Linked DNA regions of Danio rerio. The protein of the gene in region 1 purifies or fractionates together with the protein of each later gene. This does not show direct contact. Links are inferred from orthologs where the notes say so. Each region holds a gene or a part of one and is shown on either strand. Other genes may lie near its edges. The genes, in order: nop2, rrs1, nifk, nop56 and nip7.

Evidence for each region.
Region 2: the proteins of nop2 (region 1) and rrs1 fractionate together in Homo sapiens (co-fractionation; 3 studies listed by BioGRID and IntAct, with this or other methods). This does not show direct contact. The link is inferred for Danio rerio from reciprocal best matches to the Homo sapiens genes NOP2 and RRS1.
Region 3: the proteins of nop2 (region 1) and nifk fractionate together in Homo sapiens (co-fractionation; 3 studies listed by BioGRID, with this or other methods). This does not show direct contact. The link is inferred for Danio rerio from reciprocal best matches to the Homo sapiens genes NOP2 and NIFK.
Region 4: the proteins of nop2 (region 1) and nop56 fractionate together in Homo sapiens (co-fractionation; 3 studies listed by BioGRID and IntAct, with this or other methods). This does not show direct contact. The link is inferred for Danio rerio from reciprocal best matches to the Homo sapiens genes NOP2 and NOP56.
Region 5: the proteins of nop2 (region 1) and nip7 purify together in Homo sapiens (affinity purification with mass spectrometry; 3 studies listed by BioGRID and IntAct, with this or other methods). This does not show direct contact. The link is inferred for Danio rerio from reciprocal best matches to the Homo sapiens genes NOP2 and NIP7.

The regions. Positions count from the first base shown.
Region 1 is NC_133191.1:17,328,533-17,332,718, forward strand, and holds the start of nop2 (28S rRNA (cytosine(4447)-C(5))-methyltransferase), read right to left. Parts: upstream 2,861-4,186; 5' UTR 2,722-2,860; intron 2,252-2,721; exon of another isoform or gene 2,249-2,251; 5' UTR 2,219-2,248; coding exon 2,113-2,218; intron 1,999-2,112; coding exon 1,959-1,998; intron 1,866-1,958; coding exon 1,798-1,865; intron 584-1,797; coding exon 354-583; intron 1-353. UniProt on the Homo sapiens protein: S-adenosyl-L-methionine-dependent methyltransferase that specifically methylates the C(5) position of cytosine 4447 in 28S rRNA. Required for efficient rRNA processing and 60S ribosomal subunit biogenesis.
Region 2 is NC_133199.1:27,758,224-27,761,505, reverse strand, and holds rrs1 (ribosome biogenesis regulatory protein homolog), read left to right. Parts: upstream 1-1,341; 5' UTR 1,342-1,350; coding exon 1,351-2,391; 3' UTR 2,392-2,669; downstream 2,670-3,282. Other genes in the region: pola1 (DNA polymerase alpha catalytic subunit), read right to left, coding at 1-37. UniProt on the Homo sapiens protein: Involved in ribosomal large subunit assembly. May regulate the localization of the 5S RNP/5S ribonucleoprotein particle to the nucleolus.
Region 3 is NC_133184.1:39,869,849-39,874,194, forward strand, and holds the start of nifk (MKI67 FHA domain-interacting nucleolar phosphoprotein), read left to right. Parts: upstream 1-1,506; 5' UTR 1,507-1,613; coding exon 1,614-1,727; intron 1,728-1,979; coding exon 1,980-2,108; intron 2,109-3,367; exon of another isoform or gene 3,368-3,494; intron 3,495-3,574; coding exon 3,575-3,683; intron 3,684-3,776; coding exon 3,777-3,988; intron 3,989-4,069; coding exon 4,070-4,129; intron 4,130-4,184; exon of another isoform or gene 4,185-4,311; intron 4,312-4,346.
Region 4 is NC_133196.1:13,332,485-13,336,146, reverse strand, and holds part of nop56 (nucleolar protein 56), read left to right. Parts: intron 1-249; coding exon 250-350; exon of another isoform or gene 351-516; intron 517-1,060; coding exon 1,061-1,209; intron 1,210-1,396; coding exon 1,397-1,518; intron 1,519-2,800; exon of another isoform or gene 2,801-2,867; intron 2,868-2,950; coding exon 2,951-3,079; exon of another isoform or gene 3,080-3,358; intron 3,359-3,564; exon of another isoform or gene 3,565-3,662. UniProt on the Homo sapiens protein: Involved in the early to middle stages of 60S ribosomal subunit biogenesis. Required for the biogenesis of box C/D snoRNAs such U3, U8 and U14 snoRNAs. Part of the small subunit (SSU) processome, first precursor of the small eukaryotic ribosomal subunit.
Region 5 is NC_133193.1:7,001,723-7,005,845, forward strand, and holds the end of nip7 (60S ribosome subunit biogenesis protein NIP7 homolog), read right to left. Parts: coding exon 4,088-4,123; intron 2,974-4,087; coding exon 2,835-2,973; intron 1,121-2,834; coding exon 980-1,120; intron 885-979; coding exon 765-884; 3' UTR 559-764; downstream 1-558.

The DNA.
Region 1 (4,186 bases):
TCTCATGAAAACTTCCTGCTTGTTTTCAACTAAAACAGAAATAATAATCCAACTATTTTTTGACTGTTAAGCCAATTCAATGATAACTTTACATTAAAACACCTTCCATATGATTATCCCAATATATATATATATATATATATTTTTTTTTTTTTTTTAATTCTCGGAAGCAATGAAAATTATGATAATGTAAATTAGGAAATGAATCAATGCTATTGTTATTGTTTACATCCCTCAAAATAGTCTATATTATAGCACTTCAGTTCATATGAACCAGTTAATGACATCTGGCAATGTCAAAACTTCCCCCGATACAAATATTAGTTTCACTGGTTTAAACAAAAATTACATACCTCTTCTCCATCACTGTCTTTTTCATCACCTTCATCAGCACCATAGTCATCAACCATATCTTCATCATCATCATCTTCATTCTTTATATCCTTGTGATCAAATGTCTGCTCATTATCGGCATCATCATCATCTTCCCATTGGCTGTCACTATCCTCATCTTCCTCAGATTGTTCAATCTTTCGCTTCCTCTGTGCAGGTTTCAGCCACTCTTTATTCTCATCAGAAAAACCTGAAATATGCATAAATTGATTAGCAAACTTGAGTATAATGACACTATTATTCCATTAGTTTCAATTTTAAAAGGAGCCTTTAATATTTAAAAAATCACTTTATAAGGGGTTTAAACACAGTTGTGTGGTAACCGTGTGTGAATATAGCCTGCCTCAACAGTAAAAATTACTAAGTCTATTCTTAAACACCTAATAAAAAAGCTTGCAAAAACATTTTGATTGACATTTTTGCTTTGCACTTGTCAATAGGGAGAAATTCCCTCCCATTAGTGACAAATCTCTCCCTCAATGGATTAAACAGACACAAGAGAAAAGCAGCTGTCCACCTTTAATCTCCTACTACGGTGAAACATGGGTGTTTATAGCTCCACCCTCTTTTGAAAAGAGTGCTGGGAACACCATCCCATTTAAATTTAAAGGGACAGTCATCAATACAGCACAATTTGGATCAAGCCTAAAGCTGTTGACTGTCCTGGCAATATTCACTCATTTCAGCATTTTGAGTTTACTCGCTTCATTTGCTCATCAAATTCACTTCACAACAGACGTGGATTAGCATCATGGGCGGGGGATTCTGTCTGCCCAATGACTCTAGCTTCATTGCTAAATGGCTAACATGGATTTTATTGAGAAAACTGCTGTTTCTGTGCTTTCGGAGAACTAAAATAAAACAGCGTCAATTCGTTTGGAGCCATGTCTGCGTCCACTAAATCCATTCAGTGGTGCACCCAGCTCTGCGAGTTCTTCAACTCCTCCAGAAAATGTACCTGGACGATGGAAGCTTCCAGCGGTGGTTCTGAGTGAGCTGAGCCCAGTTTGATGAACTATTGTCGGCGTCGGCAGGAGGATTTTTCCCCGGGAGACCAACAACAGGTGCTACGTCATAATCCTGCGATGTGTGCGCCAATCGCTCAACTCGCAACGCTTCATGCGTATAAATCACATCATTTGCTCCATGTCATTCACGCGTATCGTGCCAGAGGATTTCCATCCGCATCGTTAGATTAACTTAACATGTAAAATCACTTACGCTTGACGCTTCTTCAGCATCTTGAGTAAACGCAGCATAAAAGGGGCAGTTTCAAAGAGTTCTAAAAAAAATATTAATGTGGTATTTTGAGCTAAAACTTAACATAAACACTCTAGAAACATCAGCAACTTATTTTACATCTTGTATAATAGTGCATAATAGGTTCCCTTTAAAATGCAATACCTTTTTTGGGCTTTTCCTCTTGTTTAGGCTCTTTGAGCTGCTTGGTAACCTGGGCTCTCTTTGCAGCTCTGCACAAATAAAAAAATACATACAATTAAAAAAAATAAGGTCTCAGTATAGATAAGAAATTATTAAATGTTTTCATATCATGAGAAATTTACCGTTTCCTTGCTCTGCTTGAAAGTTTTTTTGGCCCCTCATCTGTGAAAAGAGACAGTTGAACAAAATTAGAAACTAAATTAAGAATGCAAGCAAGCATGCATTAATTAAGAAAATAACAACAAATTAACATATATTAATATATGTGCCATTTACCATCAGCCAAAAACTTGGAGAGCTCAGTTTCTGCTCCTTTCTGTTTCCTGGCCTTACGTCCTGGTCCTCTTTTCACCTTAATAGTGGGATCCAACTTCCTTCCCATGTTTGACACTTATAAGGTTGTGCTACAGCACTGCTGCAAGTAAAAAAAAAAATCAACATCATTTAACGTCAAGCATATCTCTAAGCTTGCAAACACTACACTGTATATGGATTGTCTCATGTGGCTTTCTTCCAATATACAGTGTATCCCACTTTAAAGTAAAAACACTAATTAATTAAAGTTTTCCCTTGTATTTAAACATATATCTGTCTGTTGTGGTGAGAATTACAACTTTAAAATTACTTTCATAACAGGCTGGTTGATTGTTAGCTAGGAACACGAAACTAGTTTTAACATGTGCCAACATTCATAAGGCCACAAAAATATTAAATATTCATATTTAAATTGTTGCAGTAAATGTAAAACCATGTTGAGATTAAACACGATGTGTATTCTGGACACTAACTCGCACGGCTGCGAACTACGAGCCTAACATTAGCTTACTGTGACCTAATAAAGACATTTAAAAAATACTGTAAAAACGGCAGTTATCGGATACTCACAGTTTAACAAAACCGCGTTCCTCAAATTTTCCGACTCTTCTTTAGAACACTCAGTAAATATATAGAGGCTTTAATGTACTAAAGTTACCAGAGAACATGTGCCACTCATACTGCTGTGAACTCGCGCACATGTGACTTCAGCACACGTTGGTTTTCCGGAAGTTGCTAGCGATGCCCGACTCCTGATTCTTGGAGTCAAATCTTTTTAACGAGTCGTTTTTTTCTTCAGCATTTTCAGGCTAATTAAATTTGGTAAACGTTTAATAGAGAAGAAACACAGAACACACAAATAAAACATAATGTTTTATTTACCTTTATTTATTACTTGATTGTGTACTGATAACATATGAACTATTCAGACAAAAAGAGGTGGTTGCAACCACCATACCAGAACACATTACATTTTCAGGGTTAACGTTACCTAAATAACAACACAATGGCAATCACAACTAGACATTTTACAGCATGAATTTGCCTGTATAAAATGTGAAATAATAACACGTAAAAGGCAACAAAATTTTAGCATCAAATGAAATTTTTAATACAAAACACTCAGATATAAAAGTTTATTTAGCTTATTTATTGGCTATAGTCTTAGTAAAATACTGGTCAAACTGAATATTGGTTGCAGCAAACAGGCATAATAAGTTACATCGATTAATTTAAAATAAAAAGAAAAATTTTAACAAACCGTGTGTTGAATCATTAAACCGGTTAAAAACTGTTCAAAGCAACCGATTCTCGTAAACGAATCAGACCCCCCAGTTAACTACTTCCGTCGCGTACATTATGCGAAACAATTCGTCGCTAACTTAGATGTTAAGCGTTTCAATACACGAGTTGCATCTTCGTCTCATCGTATAGATAAACAAATAGTCTTTTTAGCCATGGAAGACGAGTGGGAAGAGGAAGAGCAGATGGTTGTGGCTGAACTGTCAGGAATGATCAACTCTGACTTAATCTCCAATCGGCAAGGCACCTGCAAGATAGTGGACATCGACAGCGAGCAGCCCATGCTGCAAGTCGGCCGGTATCTGTTCACCGGTGAGTACGAGGACGCTATCGGGACATGCGTGATCTTTGAGGAGGACAGGTCATCTTCTAATGCAGCACTTAAATACAAATGTCACACAATGAAGAAACTGATGCTGCAGCGAACGTTTCTGTCAGAGAGGAAAGAAGACGAGCCCGTCTCCAACCGCATAGAGGTGCTGGCTCTCAACGAAGAAGAGTCGTTCGGTCGGAAGAGCGTTTGTCACTACCTGGACCCCATAGAGACGGACAAATCTGTCCTTGACGAATCTAAAGACTGTGAGGACCCAGAGAAGAGCGGTGGATCAGCAGATGAAATGGACGAGACGCTTCTGGAAAACGAGACGATGAACGCCAGCAACTCTCTTTTACCGGAGTCTGTGCAAGAAGAGGACGAGAGCCCCTGAAATACTTTTACTAATGTACATTCTGT
Region 2 (3,282 bases), on another chromosome or scaffold:
CGTCCATGTCTTTATCGGGATTTGAAACAGGAGCCATTGATATAAAATGCGGTTGAGTCGAGGTAGAATTTCTCTCTCCTTACAAAGGGCGAAGCCAAAACAACAGATTTCCGCGCCAAAGTGTCTTCCCGGGGAAACTCGAGCAGCGGATATGACGTTCTCACCAGCCGACCAATCTGAACAAGTTGATTCGAACTGTTGTAGACAGACTTTATTCAGTGTATTTTTTAGCACATTCATTTTTTTATATCGGAGACTTGAGTTTTTTGTTATTTTACAATTAAAGATCATTTTGTTTGCGTAACTGAACAGTAATGCAAATACTACTACTACTACTACTACTACTACTACTACTACTACTACTAATAATAATAATAATAATAATAATAATTATAATAATAATAATAATAACAAGTTTGTTTTTGTTTGCATACTGTATGCAGAGGCAATTTCCAGATTTTTTCTGTTAGAATTTTCAAGAATAACATTGGCATCAGTTCAGAAATCATATTATCAGTTCAGTATCACTTGTTCAGTAATAATATAATCCAAACAGATCCAAAAAATCAGTTTTAAAATCATACCAAAAACACAATTTAAGTATTATTAAGGATAATTAATTATTTTTAGATATTTGTAGTGGTCGATGATAAAACAAATACAACCGTGCGTGTGTATAACTGCAACAAAATAAATAAATCAATATTTCTACCACAACTATGGGTTTCACTTATAGGTTTTACTGGCATTTAGAAACCAATCATTTGTCCCAGGTTACACATCCACAGAACCGATATATATCTAAATAAATTTAATATTTTATCAAAACGAACCATTTGCTCCGTATGCTTAACCCACCGGTTCGGTTCGGCTATAAGATTCACGCATCCACAAACTGAATCACTGAGTCAGGTTCGTTTGAATCATGTCTTCGAGCACTTCAGGTAACTTCTGGCATGTGGCCACTTTATTGATTCTGATCACAAAAATGTCGACTCTGGTGGGACTCGAACCCACAACCTTTGAATGACCCCATTCAACAATCTAGAAGTCCAATGCGCTATCCATTGCGCCACAGAGCCGATGGGACGTCCTGTCGGTTTATCGCTACTCCTGCATTCGACCGAACAACTTTCGTCCGAAGTAAGTTAGTTAGTATCATAAACATATACACTTAGGATAAACGTTTTACTAGCTAAAACATGTTTAAAGATTGTTATATTTCTTTAACTCATTTGAAATGTTTATTTTATTTTTTAAGTTAGTTTTTAGTTCTTTTATTTTGAAATACCAGACTTCCGCTTTTAGCGGCACATGTGGGAACCCACGTTGTCTGTCAGTAGAACCAAAATGGCTTCGTGCAGTATTGAAGACGTGCTCGCTAAAGCTGAAAGAGACGAGGCTGAGAAGCTCAAAAGTATTACGGTGCTCAAAGAGTTGGATCTTGAATTCGACCCGGGACTTTTGCTGGCGTTTGACAAGAACCGACTTGACACACGGGACTTTAAAGGCAACAAACGGGAGGACTGTCTTCGCTCTTTAGCGCGAGACAACACACAACTTCTCATCAACGAGATATGGAAACTACCCACAGAGAGAGTCGACGAAGTGATCGTCGCCAAGCTGCCAGAACCGACCACTAAACTACCCAGAGAAAAACCAGCACCGAAACCTAAGCCTCCTACTAAATGGGAACAGTTTGCCAAGCTGAAAGGCATTCAGAAGAAAAAGAAGACCAACTTGGTCTGGGATGAAGTTCACAAGGAGTGGAAGAGGAGATGGGGGTATAAACGTGCCAAAGATGACACCAAAGAGTGGTTGATTGAGGTCCCGGCGACTGCAGATCCAAACGAAGACCAGTTCGCCAAAAGGAATAAAGCCAAAAAGGAAAGAGTGGCCAGAAACGAGTACAACAGACTCAAAAACATCGCCAGAGCTCAGAAGGTCAAGGTTCCTGGAACAGGACTCCTGCCTACATCCCAGCAGACCAAAGCGGAGCTGGCACAAGCGGTCAGTCTGGCCAAAATATCCACCGCATCGGTTGGCAAATTCCAGGAGAAGCTGCCCAAGGAAAAACCAGCCAGAAACACTGGGAAGAAGAGGAAATTCCAGCCTCTTATTGGGGACTTCAGTAGCGAGAAGCAAAAACAGCTGGATTTATTGAAGGTGATGGACAGTAAGAAGCCCCGTCTCGATATCACTAAAGCTGTGAATAAGCAGATGAGGGAAGAGGACTCGGAGTCTGCTCGGAATAATAAGAAAGGGTTTGGAAAGAAGGGACGCAAGGGAGGCATGCCTGGTAAAGGAAAAGGCAAAGGAAAACCTGGAGGAAAGGGAAAAGCTCCTAAAGGCAAAGGGCGCAAACCTCAGATGAAGCAAGGAAAGCGCTAACATTTAAAGCAGTGTGGTGGACTTATGATGTTTATTGTAGAATATAATAAATATTGCACACGACTCAACTTCTCTTAAGTCATGACTTTGAGTGCCTTGCGGCTGGAGTTTGATTCAGTACAGGAATCGGGTTTGTTTATGTGTTTAGGCTTTATCTACATATGTCATGGATTAAGATCATTGAACCGTTTTCATAAATGTCATCTAATATTGACTCCTGTTATTCATTCGTAATTGTGTTTTCACATTAAATTAAAATTCTTTCTGATTTGCCATCAGTTCCTGGTTGGATATTGTGAATAATGAGGTTATATTTCATCCCCAAAGTTATTTAAAAATGAGTATAAATGTGTCAAAGCCTGCTGTTAATGGGTAACATTTGTACTTAAATAGTATGTTCTTATAATGTAATATAAAATATCATCAAATGTGTATTTTAGAATTATAAAGCTAAAATATCACCTTAAAAAATTGAAGCTAAGATTCAATTAATAAAGTATTTGAGCAATTTTAATGAAAAGAATATGATTAGATTTATCTTATACCATCAAATAGAGGAGACATCCCATTTCAGTGTCTACCTAAGTTCACAAATGTGATTTTTAATTACAGCAATCAAATTAAATCTAATTAAATTGTTTAGTGATTTAAATAACTTTTGTGAAATTAAAAATATGAGTTAAAAACGCTGTATTGTCATTTAGTGTTATGTGAAAATGAAACCTACTGTTATTCTGATCTGTGATGTGACAAATATGTATAAAATAATAACTTAAAGCTTTCCCAGAGATGGGTTGCAGCTGGAAGGGCATCCACTGCATAAAACATAAACTGGAAAAGATGGCAGTTCATTCTGCTGTGGCGACCCCGGATTAATAAAGGGACTAAGCC
Region 3 (4,346 bases), on another chromosome or scaffold:
TATTTACTTTGTATTTTTATTGTTTTTTGCAATATTATAATTTATTTAAACAAAACAATGAGTAGAAATGGTATCATTCAAAACAACAACAACAACAACAACATGAGATAAGTAATTTACAACAACTACAATATTAAGATAAATAATATGCAAACACAGTAAAATCACTCTTGAGTTTATTTAATATTTAAGACATTTAGGAAAATGTAACTATTTATTAAAACATAATAAATAGCACAGATATTTATTAGCAATATTAAGATAATTAATATGCAAACAAAGCGAACTCCCTATTTATTTAGTATTTAGGACATTTAAGAAGATGTAAATATTTATTAAAACATAATAAAATGGCACAGCACAACCTTGGTCAATGCCGTTGGGTAGATAAGTTATTTATTACAAGTAAAATGTTAAGATAATTAATAAGCAAACAACGCAAACCCACTATTGATTTGTTTGTTTGTTTGTTTGTTTGTGTGTTTATCTAGAATTTAAGAAATTTAAGAGCATGTAAATATTTATTAAAACATAATAAATAGTACAGCACAGCCTTAGTCAACTCTGTTGGGTAGATAAGTAATTTATAACAAGTAAAATATTAAGATAATTAATAAGCTAACTGTAAACCCACTATTTATTTGTTTGTTTGTTTGTTTGTTTGTTTAGTATTTAATAAATGTAATACAGTGTAAATATTTAATAAAACATAATAAATAGCATAGCACAACCTTAGTCAATGCCGTTGAGTAGATAAATTATAACAAGTAAAATATTAAGATAATTAATAAGCAAACAACGTAACCCCACTATTTATTTGTTGTTTGTTTGTTTGTTTATTCATTCATTAATTTTTGGCTTAGTCCCTTTATTAATCTGGGATCGCCACAACAGAATTAACCGCCTTATTTATTTGTTTATTTAGTATTTAACAAATTTAATCCAGTGTAAATATTTATTAAAACATAATAAATAGCATAGCAAAACCTTAGTCAATAAGCAAACTACGTAAATTCACTATTTATTTGTTTGTTTGTTTATTTATTTCTTTAGTATTTAAGAAAGTTATACAGTGTAAATATTTAATAAAACATAAAAATAGCAAAGCACAACCTTAGTCAACGCTGTTGATAAGTAATTTATAACACGTAAAATATTTTGATAATTAATAAGCAAACAACGCAAACCCACTATTGATTTGTTTGTTTGCTTATCTAGTATTAAAGAAATTTAAAAGCATGTAAATATTTATTAAAACACAATAAATAGTACAGCACAACCTTAGTCAACTCCGTTGGGTAGATAGGTAATTTATAACAAGTAAAATATTAAGAAAAATAATAAACAAACGACGCACACTCAGTATTTATTAAGTATTAAAGAAACTTAAGGAAACTCAGACGTTTATTAAAACATATTACATAACATAGCACAACTGTCAACGCCGTGAGTTTAGTTGACTTTTATTTTGTAGCTTTTGCAGGCTTTTATTTTGAATTGTCGCTTGCATTAGCAGTTTCCTGAACGAGGCACAACGTGGTTTTAGGAGAAGCCATACGACAGTAGGTTCAAAACGTTTAGCTTTATTTATTTGACCACTGTTAGATTTCAATATGACAGAAGGCAAATCATCAGACAAGCCGGCGAAAAGACTGCTGGCTCTGAATCCGAAAGAGGACGCAGAATTTCAGAAGAAAGTGCAGCAAGTGAAGAAGCGTCCTCAAACGGTATGATGCGTGGCCATGTGGCCTTAGTTTAGCCTGACAGTGCTTCAGATTCACATTTAAAACGTGGTTGGAACAAAATGTTTCTTTTAATCACTAATATGCTGTAGCTAGAGTTAAGTTCGGTAAGATGAGTCTTGTTTACACTTGACGGTGCTAATGTAATGTTACTATTTGGTTTACGGTGCACATGTTACATTCAATATTTTGTTTTGCATTGAATGCGCTTCATAATTTGTTTTGGTCCTCTTTCAGGGTCAAACACTTAGTCCAGGAGTGCTGTATGTTGGTCATCTTCCTCGAGGACTGTTTGAGCCTCAGTTGAAATCTTACTTTGAGCAGTTTGGCAAAGTCTTACGATTGAGAGTTTCCAGGAGTAAAAAGGTATGACGTGCATTTGATTTATTACCTTAGTTTATAATGACATGACGTTAAATATAAAGTAAATTGCTCAATACAAATGGTCAAGACGTTCTAACGCGGACTTTCTGAATCTAATACATGTTAAAATGTTAAAATCTTGCTTTATTTATTAGATAAATTGTTTTATTTTGTGTTTGCCAGTACTAGTATATCTAAACATTTTTTAAAGGGATAGTTCACCAAAAAATTCTGCATCAATTACTCTTTCACTACTTTCTCCTCTGTTGAACACAAAAGGAAACAATTTGAAGAATGTTGGGAACTTAGCATGGAATCCCATAGTATGTTGTTCCTGCTATAGATGGAGGTAAAGTTGGTTTTGTATTAGAATATTCAGACATTCTCCTTAATATAATTTTAGAAAAGTATTCTTTGCAAATTTTAAATAGGAAAATCATATTAGCAGCAAATGACTAACAAAGTACAGCATTGTTCACAGCGAATTAGATAGTGTTGATGTTGTTTTGAAATCAAACATGCTAGTTCAGACTCGATATTCAACATAGCGTGGTAAACAATATAGAGACTGCTAAATGAACAAATGTGCAAATATAAAACCAACTTTTCCTCCATCTACTATAGATGCCAGTGGTGGCTGGGTTTTCAACAATCTGTAAAATGTCTTTTGATAAAGTCTTATGATTGAGTTTGCAGGAGTAAGGTTTTAAGCATTTTGTTACATTGGTTTGCAATGACCTGATGTTAAATATGAAGAAAGGTGGAAGAAGTGTGAGGTAAATGACAGAATTTAGATTAAACTTTTCATTTACGTAGGGTTTATTGGCAGATATTTCGTTTAATAATAAATTAAATAACATTTGGCCAATTTCACAGGGAATTAAGCTTTCTTTACTTTTGTTTTACAAATAAAATCAGCAAAAGCCCTGTAATTTCCAAACAAACCAATAAGAATTCTACAAGGAATCCTATAAAGAAACGCATAAGATCCTCTTGGATAAATACGTTTAATCCAATGAGGCCCAATTTGATTCTAAGAGGATTTTTAGAGAAATCTTATTTGATTCCCAGCGGGTTGCTTTCAGATAATCATCGGCTGCATCTGAATTGTATACTCTAACCATTTCTCATTAACTTTATAGTAGAGAAGTGTGCTTTTTTCTTTATGTAGCTGTAAACATTCTATCAGGATCTTGTGTTTTTTTTTTCTTTCTTTTTTTTCTCGTTTTTAATTTCTCTATATAACAACATGTTTAAAAGGCACAATCTGAAAATTACCTTTGGCATTTTGTTGCGATGGGTAAGATTATTGTGCCAACATTAATTCGGTACATTTAGCTTATTGCCAACTTCATGTAGTTGTGCAATGAAACCCATGTGCCTACATTAATATCACAATAGTCATATTGGGTGATAATGCTTTGCTGGAGGTTTTACCTCATAAATGATTGAACTGTCATCTTTCACAGACTGGTGGGAGCAAAGGCTATGGATTTGTGGAGTTTGAGTGTGATGAAGTGGCTAAGATTGTGGCTGAAACCATGAACAACTACCTTATGGGAGAACGCATTATAAAATGTGAGATGAGAGCATACAAGATTATTAATCATTATTTTTTTTGTCTGTGTGTGATGTTTTTTTATGAGTAATGCTGTGTATTGTACTTTTCAGGTCACGTTATTCCACCTGAGAAGGTTCATGAAAAGCTCTTTGTCGGCTCTATTGCTGGCTTCAAGAAGCCAAAGTATCCTGCAGTGACTCGGTATAACAAAACACACACAGAAGATGATGTGAAGAAAGTTGGCACAAAGCTTTTAAGCAAAGAGTCTAAGCTGCGCAAGAGACTGGCAGCAAAAGGCATTGACTATGATTTCCCAGGATTTGTAAGTACTACAGTCAGAGTATGTTTTAGTTGGGACTTTTAAGATGTTATCATTAATTTGATCATGTTTTTTTGTTTGCAGGCAGCACAGATTCCAGCTAAAAAGGCTCCATCAGAAGCAAATGTTTCAGTGTGCAGTGAGGTTAGTCTAATCATTTTAATTCAGCTTAATTTTTTTACCACTTCTGTATCTTGGCATATACTGAAAATTATTTCAGTTGTAACCATCAACTGGAGTAAGATAACTGTGCCGACAGAAAATGGTACATTTTAAGCTTATTGTCTGTCACTTTGACACGCAATGAAACCCATGTGCCAACAGTTACTGTAGTGTACTCTATTTTTTTTTATTTTGCACA
Region 4 (3,662 bases), on another chromosome or scaffold:
GTATATATATATATATATATATGTATATATATATATGTATATATATATATATATATATATATATATATATATATATATATATATATATATATATATATATATTAGCTTTTAGATTTGCTATCTTGTAAACACAGCCCTCTCTGAAACATTTAAAAATACTACTTGTGTATTCTCCATGTACAGAAGTTGCACAACCAAAGTATCAGATTTCTGTTTTTGCATGCTCTGACATCCACTTTCATGTAACAGGTTGGTGCTCGCCTGATCTCTCACGCTGGCAGTTTGACAAACCTGGCCAAATATCCGGCGTCCACCGTGCAGATCCTGGGTGCAGAGAAGGCCCTGTTCAGGTACTGGGGCTCCCCTTCCCTGCTGGGGTTTTACACAGCTGCGGTGATGGCAGGGCCGGGGCGGATCAGGAGCGGGTGATTTGGTGTGTCATTGAACACGCTTTAAGGTGATCCCGCTCAATCTCCCGTACCCCCCAGTCTGAGCAGCTGATGAGGGTTTTGAGAGGTAGATACATCTGAAGACGTTCTGTTGAGAGAGCGCACATGTACAATTACTTCATAGAAAATTACATCTTCAGTTTCTAGTTTAGTAGAATATTTACAGATAATGTATGTCGTGTGATGCTCCAACATATCAGCAGCTGAAAGCATGTGTATTGGTTTTAATATGTTGTCTTGATTGACCAGTTATCAGAAATTTAAAAATGTTTCAAATTGTAAAAAAATCTGCTAGTTATTATATTGAACTAAACTACTTTTGTAATTGTTATTACTCTTGCCTTAAAATAGCCATAAGTTGCTGATGTGGCAAATAAGTAACCTTAACAATGAACAGCAATGATAGTGTTTTTGTCTATATCTAGAAGTTGTCAGTCGCATAGAAGCTCAATTCAGTTACCTTAAGCCAAATAGAATTTCTGAAACATTAGTTTTTGGGTAATTGCAGTTTTTGATTTTTTTTATGGGAAGCAGTTTTGGTGCATCACACAATTGTCAATGCCAAAATTGTGGTGTAGATGGACTTTCTTTTGCTCTTTCCCCTAATTCAGAGCATTGAAGACCAGAGGAAACACGCCTAAGTACGGTCTCATTTTCCACTCGACATTCATCGGGCGCGCAGCTGCCAAAAATAAGGGTCGTATCTCGCGTTACTTGGCCAACAAGTGTACCATCGCATCCCGCATTGACTGCTTTTCTGGTGAGGACCCCTTCTATTATCATTTCAGCCACTTTTTTGCATTTTTGCTATGATGCTTTAATTTTTCGTCAACAGTAACCCACCTCAGTGGTTGTTGAGATGATATTCCTGAGCATAAGTGTGATCAAACGCTTTAGTGGTTTTCTGTTGTGTGGTTTTTCATGATGTTTTTCTTCACTACACACAGAGGTTCCCACAAGTGTGTTTGGTGATAAGCTTCGTGACCAGGTAGAAGAACGTCTGGCCTTCTATGAGACAGGGGAGGCTCCACGAAAGAATCTGGATGTCATGAAAGAAGCTGTTGCACAGGTGAGCCCTCATCCATTGTTCTGGCAACACCAGTATTGTTACAACAGGCAAATGATTTGTTACTTTAAAAAGCTTTATTTTAGTAAGCTAAATGGCTATGAAAGGTTGATTTATAGCAACTAATTTTTTTTTAAGCACCAAAAATGTTTACCAGAATCAAATCTTCCGCCATATTGCATTTTAAGGAAACTTGAGATTATTGCAGTAGTTTGGCATTAGTTCTGAACTAATGTTAAGTAAAATAATTTTTTCTCTTTTTTTATGTTTTAACGGATACATTTTATACAATTGTAGTTTAATTCTGAGAACAGCACTTGTGTACTATTGCTTATCTATATCAAACTATTTATTTATTTTTTGCATAACTTGTATTGGGTCATTTTTAACTGCAGTCTAACAGGTAATGGAGGAATTTACTGTTTTGGCATGTCTTATTAAAAGGTGACTTTCAAAATTCTATCTTTAGCTAAAATTAAAATATTAACATTGACTTATGCCCAACTTGTATATAGATATTTTTTGCCCTCTATTATACCTGTTTCTCACTGCAAATAAAGCAGAAGCAGTGCACTTTAAAAAAATAAAATAAAATCTCTCCCCCCACCAAGGCCCACGACAACTTATGCTGTTAACTTACCCTGCAAGTTTTTAATATCTCATTTTGTTTGTGATCGTCAGCATAACGAAGACCTATAGTTACAGTGATACTTGTACAATATATTTATAATGATATTTATACATGATCGAACTGGTGTGCAACTTAAGCAAAACTAATACTAAAATAGTTTACAATTTAATTTTGTAGTTCGGGCCCAAATAAATATTTGTTGCTGTTAATTGGTTAAGTTACCAGGAGTTTTTAATATATAGGATAGAATTAAAATTCACACAAATATATTCAAAGTTGAATATGATTTATCAAAGTAACTTTTTATTGTAATACGAGTTGCTGATGTGGCAATAAATAAGTTCATTTGATTGAATGTATAAAAAATTAGTGTTTTTATTTGTGTAAATTTATTGGGTAATTCTTTGTTTTTGGTCTTTTATAAATGCTCCATGCCTTTGAGCGTGCTGATGTGCTGCTTCTGCATGCAGTATGAAGCTCTAATCTGTTAACTTGGACGCAGAAAAACACGCTCCGCTCGCACTTGCGGTGTGCAACAGGCGTTAGACGTTAGCATCACCTGTTAAAAGCTAGTAGTGTATATTGTAATTGTTTTAATAGCTAATTCTACCCCTAAAGTGCTGTTTTTACGGTTACTGCAGTTTGAGGATGTGCTGTGAGTGATGACTCTTTCCTCCTGACTCCTACGTGGAGGCGAAAACTGATTTAATGAGCCTGACACAGCACTGTGAATTCATATTCTAATACTCTTGTTCTTGTAGAAATGCAAATACATTTTTTTTTTTTTTTTTTTTTCCCTCGCAGGCTTCTGAGGTGGCTGCTGAAATAAAGCGGAAGCTTGAGAAAAAGGAAAAGAAGAAAAAGAAGCGGCAGAAGAAGCTAGAAGCTCTTTCCACTGCAGAAGGAGATGAGGAAACCAATGGTGATGTTGAGGTACATAGAGTAACCATCTTTAAGCCACAAGTGTTTTTAAATTGGTGTTCAGGGGATTAGGGGTTTGTAGAAATCTTTCATAAAGCAGAATGTTAACTGAGTGTTGGTTTTTATTCAGAAATTACTTGAGAAATGTATTTAAATACTGCAGCTCTAATACAAGGATGTTCAGTGTTTGTCTGAGATGATTAGTCGACCAAAATGTGTGTATTCCATACAAGCTGAAGCTGAGATCTAGTCGCGTGACTCATGGTGCGCTTGTGGGATTCATTCAACTGGGTGCGTTTGGAAGGTGGAAATAACGAATTTGCACACACTCACAATGTGCAAAAGGCCGCTGTCATTTGCGATGTCCTGCAGTTGATCTTGCTCAGACATGGTGGATTCACTTGATTTGTTGACAGGTCTATTCCTTGGCAGTTCATGGGTCCTACACTGGGCCTTTTCCCCCTTAGCAAAGAAACTTTCATATGTTTGTTACTCAGTTTTGTGCTTGTGGGTTAAATTTGCTTGTTTAAAGCACACTAGGTACACACTAGGTACAGTTGCCTTGAACCGGGCCAAAGCACGCTCGTCCCCTCTC
Region 5 (4,123 bases), on another chromosome or scaffold:
TTTCTGATGAAATGTGATACTTTATAATAAAACATTTTAACTATTAAAAAAATACATGTGTATTTAAAAAAATAGAATGAATTATTAATGACCCAAAATGCAATAAAAAAATTTAAATACCAAGAAATACTTTATGAAAATTCATAGAAAATGTAAATATTTAGTTTGCAGGATATTACTTTTGTGCTTTAGTTTTCATGTTAAAAACCTGCCTGTGAAAATGTAGATTATTAAAACAAAAAAAGTCACTCTAACAATTTGCACCGAATTTATTGAACCATGTTTAAGTTTGATGCCGATGTCTCTTAATTTACTGAAAATTGGAAATTAGTCTGAAAGTTTGAAGTTAGTCTTGCTAAACAAACTATTAAAAACTGCACATCGACACAGGTTTACCTTAACATTACTTTTAACTAGTTTCTGTAAGATGTCATTTGGTCTGGTATTGTTTCCTACTTTGCCCTGTGTTCTTTTATAAGCAGAAGACAATAACCTGCAAAAAAAATAAAAATAAAAATAAATAAAAATCACATCACAAAATTCTAAATCTTGACTTAATTTAGTATTTCTTTAATACAGAAATGGTTAACAGAAACTCACATATGTATTTAGACATTGAAAAGAAGGCAACAGGGTGAAAAATGATGACAATAATGCTTTGAATTCAAAGCATGTCACGCCTATAAGATGGAAGAAAAAAATAAAGGTATCCAATCGCCAGAATGTAATGAACCGTCCATGCCAAACTGAGCAATGATATCGTCTTATGTCAGAGTATCTTCACTTCTGATATATTCTCCAATATCAGCCTGATGGAAAACCACAATAGCCATGGGGTCGACTTTCCTGCACTCCTGTGTTGTTCTCGCTGCAACTCCAAAACCCTGAAATCAGATGAAAACGGTAAAACAACAGCATACTTCTCCCAAACATTACCAGAGTTATAAGACTTTCAAAAAGAAGTGTAGGAATATCTTACGAGTGGTACGTCAGCCATTGAATACACCAGCACTCCCTGGTACTTGTCTGTGTTTTCTGTGATTCTGCCCAGGCCGGACTTCATGATGTGGTTTCCGTACAGGAATGATTGCTCCGATCCCGGCTTCACCCACACCTTAAACTACATCACATCACATTGTGTATTACTGATATGAAAACAGCCAGTTTGTTGCAAGTTGAAATGAAAGAGAAGTTTTGATTGTTGATAACTATTCCTTATTGTGATGTACAGTTTAGGTAAAACTGCTTCATGAGTGAATAAAAAGTAGGGCGAGACTTGATTGTCCAAATAGATGGAAACTAATTTGATGGTTGTGGTTTGCACGATACTGGAATTTTAAAAATATGTAAATTTCCTGCTGTTGAGCGCATTCTTAAACAGGGCTGATTTGCCGTTGTGTTCACATGCTCAACAGAAATGACTGTGATTGGCCTCGAAGCTCAACAGATCACAGAATTCACTGCTGTTTACTGCGTGTAACAACAGATACAGGAACACTGATTTTTATTAAGTAAAACTGGCCTTAGACGTTTTTTTTTGTTTTTTTTTACTTATTTATATGACATGGACATCACAATTACACTGGACAAGAGGGTTAGGCGATGTCAATAAATTTGGCATTGCAAGTTGTCTAATGTGAAACATCGCGATGGGCGATGGCATCATCATCTTGTAAAAAGCAGGGCCGAGGGGGTTGAGCTTGATAGAGTGCACGCGGAGCGAGGAGGGATCCGAGGGTGAGAAGGACGCGCAACTTATTTGAGGAGCGGGAGGGAGCCACACGATTATCACTCGTTTTGCGGGCATTATGAGTCCCGCAAATGCAAAGAGACTTCCGGAACTTCCAGAATCCCAACTTCCAGGAGACTTGGAATGTCTGAATATCACGTTTAACAACTATAGTGAGACGCGATTCAGTGCTACATCCTTCATAAACTGTCCGACATGCACTGCTCTCTGGAGCTCAGAGGAGCGCATGACAGTGTGTGTGTGTGTGTGTCTGTGTGGTCACGTGATGTGCGTTTTCAGCGGATGGAGGGCTGTTCAGAAATGTTTTTATAGAAATGTCACATACCCTGCCGTAAGTTCAGGTGTAGTTCACTGTCAGAATGCAGTTGTTTTGCTTGATGATTACCCAGGCCTTGTATAACGTTAGCTACGTCTTTTTTCCTTGTCTTTGGCTAGGCAGAACCTCGGTTTTTAATGAGATTGAGATTAATTAGAATCATCAATGAAATTGTATATTTGGAGCTGGATGCTTCGCCATTTTGTTTTATCCAATATCCATTGGGATCCTATCGCAAATGGACCAGTCAGATGAACGCTGCTCACTTTAACGTTAATTTTGCCGAATCACTGTGCTTATCACTGGGTGACAAGCTGTTAGACTACGTTGAAAGCATTATGTAAATAATAATTATTCGATATAAATTATTTTTAAGACAACAACGAACTCTACCGTATCGGATGTCATTCCCTCGCTGTAAATGCTAGCGCTCCCTGTTTTTTTTTCTGCCACCTGCCTGTGCGCGCATCTTGAATGGTTACAAACATCGTAATTCATCTATATAGTAGGCCTATAGGTGTGTAATTTTCACTAAAGAAGATAAATTATACCAGAACTATGTTAATATATACAAAAAACGGTATCGGTCGATACTCAGAATTTTGGCATCGAGATGAGATCGGTTCCAAAAGAATGGTATCGGTGCATCCCTATTTGTGATTTTTATTCCTTTTTTTGCAAACTTTGAAAAGATTTGTTTCCTGTTAGGATGCTAAACCGGCTATGGTTACTGTAAAAAAATTTACATGATCAAAACTAAATATGTACCTTAGCATACGGTGCGAGGAAATCGAGAGCTGTGATGTGCAGGCGGAACTTTTGTGTCTTCGTGAACTTTCCGAAACACGTGCCAACTGATACCAGTTTATCTCTGGAGACATTTGTTGCCAACTTCAGGATTTTTTCACTAAAATGGAAAACAAATAAATTACAGATTACTTATTCACATTTGCAACTTTCATACATTTTATCATCTGTAGCTCTTTTTACCATCGAGAGATGTAGCTAAAGATGGACCTCTTTTATTGGTGGATTTTCAATACAGCATCATGGGTAATGTAGTTTTTTCCACACAAATTCCGCTACTATACACGACATTTCTGAAAATTATTTAGATTACTTTGAACAAATTGGATCAACAAAAGTTTATGAGATATATTAAAAACTCATTCCATTTGAAGAAAATTAATGGATTTTTTTTTACTTGCAGAAAAGTATTGTGCTCTATTCTGTTCACTTTGAGGTCAACTATATGTAAATGTACTGCTAAATACTGAATAAATTGAGACCTAAATATTAATTACTTGTATGGTCAAAATCCAATTAACTTTGTTTAAGATCTATCTCTCCGATTGGTGGATTTTCAATACAGCATCATGGGTAATCTAGTTTTTTCTACACAAATTCCGCTACTACACATGACATTTCTGAAAATTATTTAGATTAATTTGAACAAATTGGATCAACAAAAGTTTATGAGAACTCATTCCATTTGAAGAAAATTAAAGTTTTTTTTTACTTGCAGAAAAGTATTGTGCTCTATTCTGTTCACTTTGAGGTCAACTATATGTAAATATGTAAATGTACTTCTAAATTGAGACCTAAATATTAATTACTTGTTTAGTCAAAAGCCAATTAACTTGGTTAAAGATCTATCTCTCTGATTGGTGGATTTTCAATATGGCATTATGGGTAATGTAGGTTTTCTGCATGAATTCAGCTATTACACATTGTTGTTCTGAAAATATTTCCATTAATTTGAACAATCAACATAGGCATATAAAATTAATTCCCTATGGAGAAAATGATTGTGTTTTGCTTTAATTGCAGAAAAGTGCCCTATTCTGTTCAACTATATGCAAGTGTACTTCCAAATACTGACTAAATTACTCTGGGACCTAAATATTAATTACTCGTCTAGTTAAAAGCCAATTCACTACTTAAAGGAGCAGAACATTTCAACAGGAAAAGCTAGCTCACATTATACTTTATTTATTTTCTAAGATAACAGACAATCTTACCTCATATAATATACTCGATCATTATGAAGTCTGAAA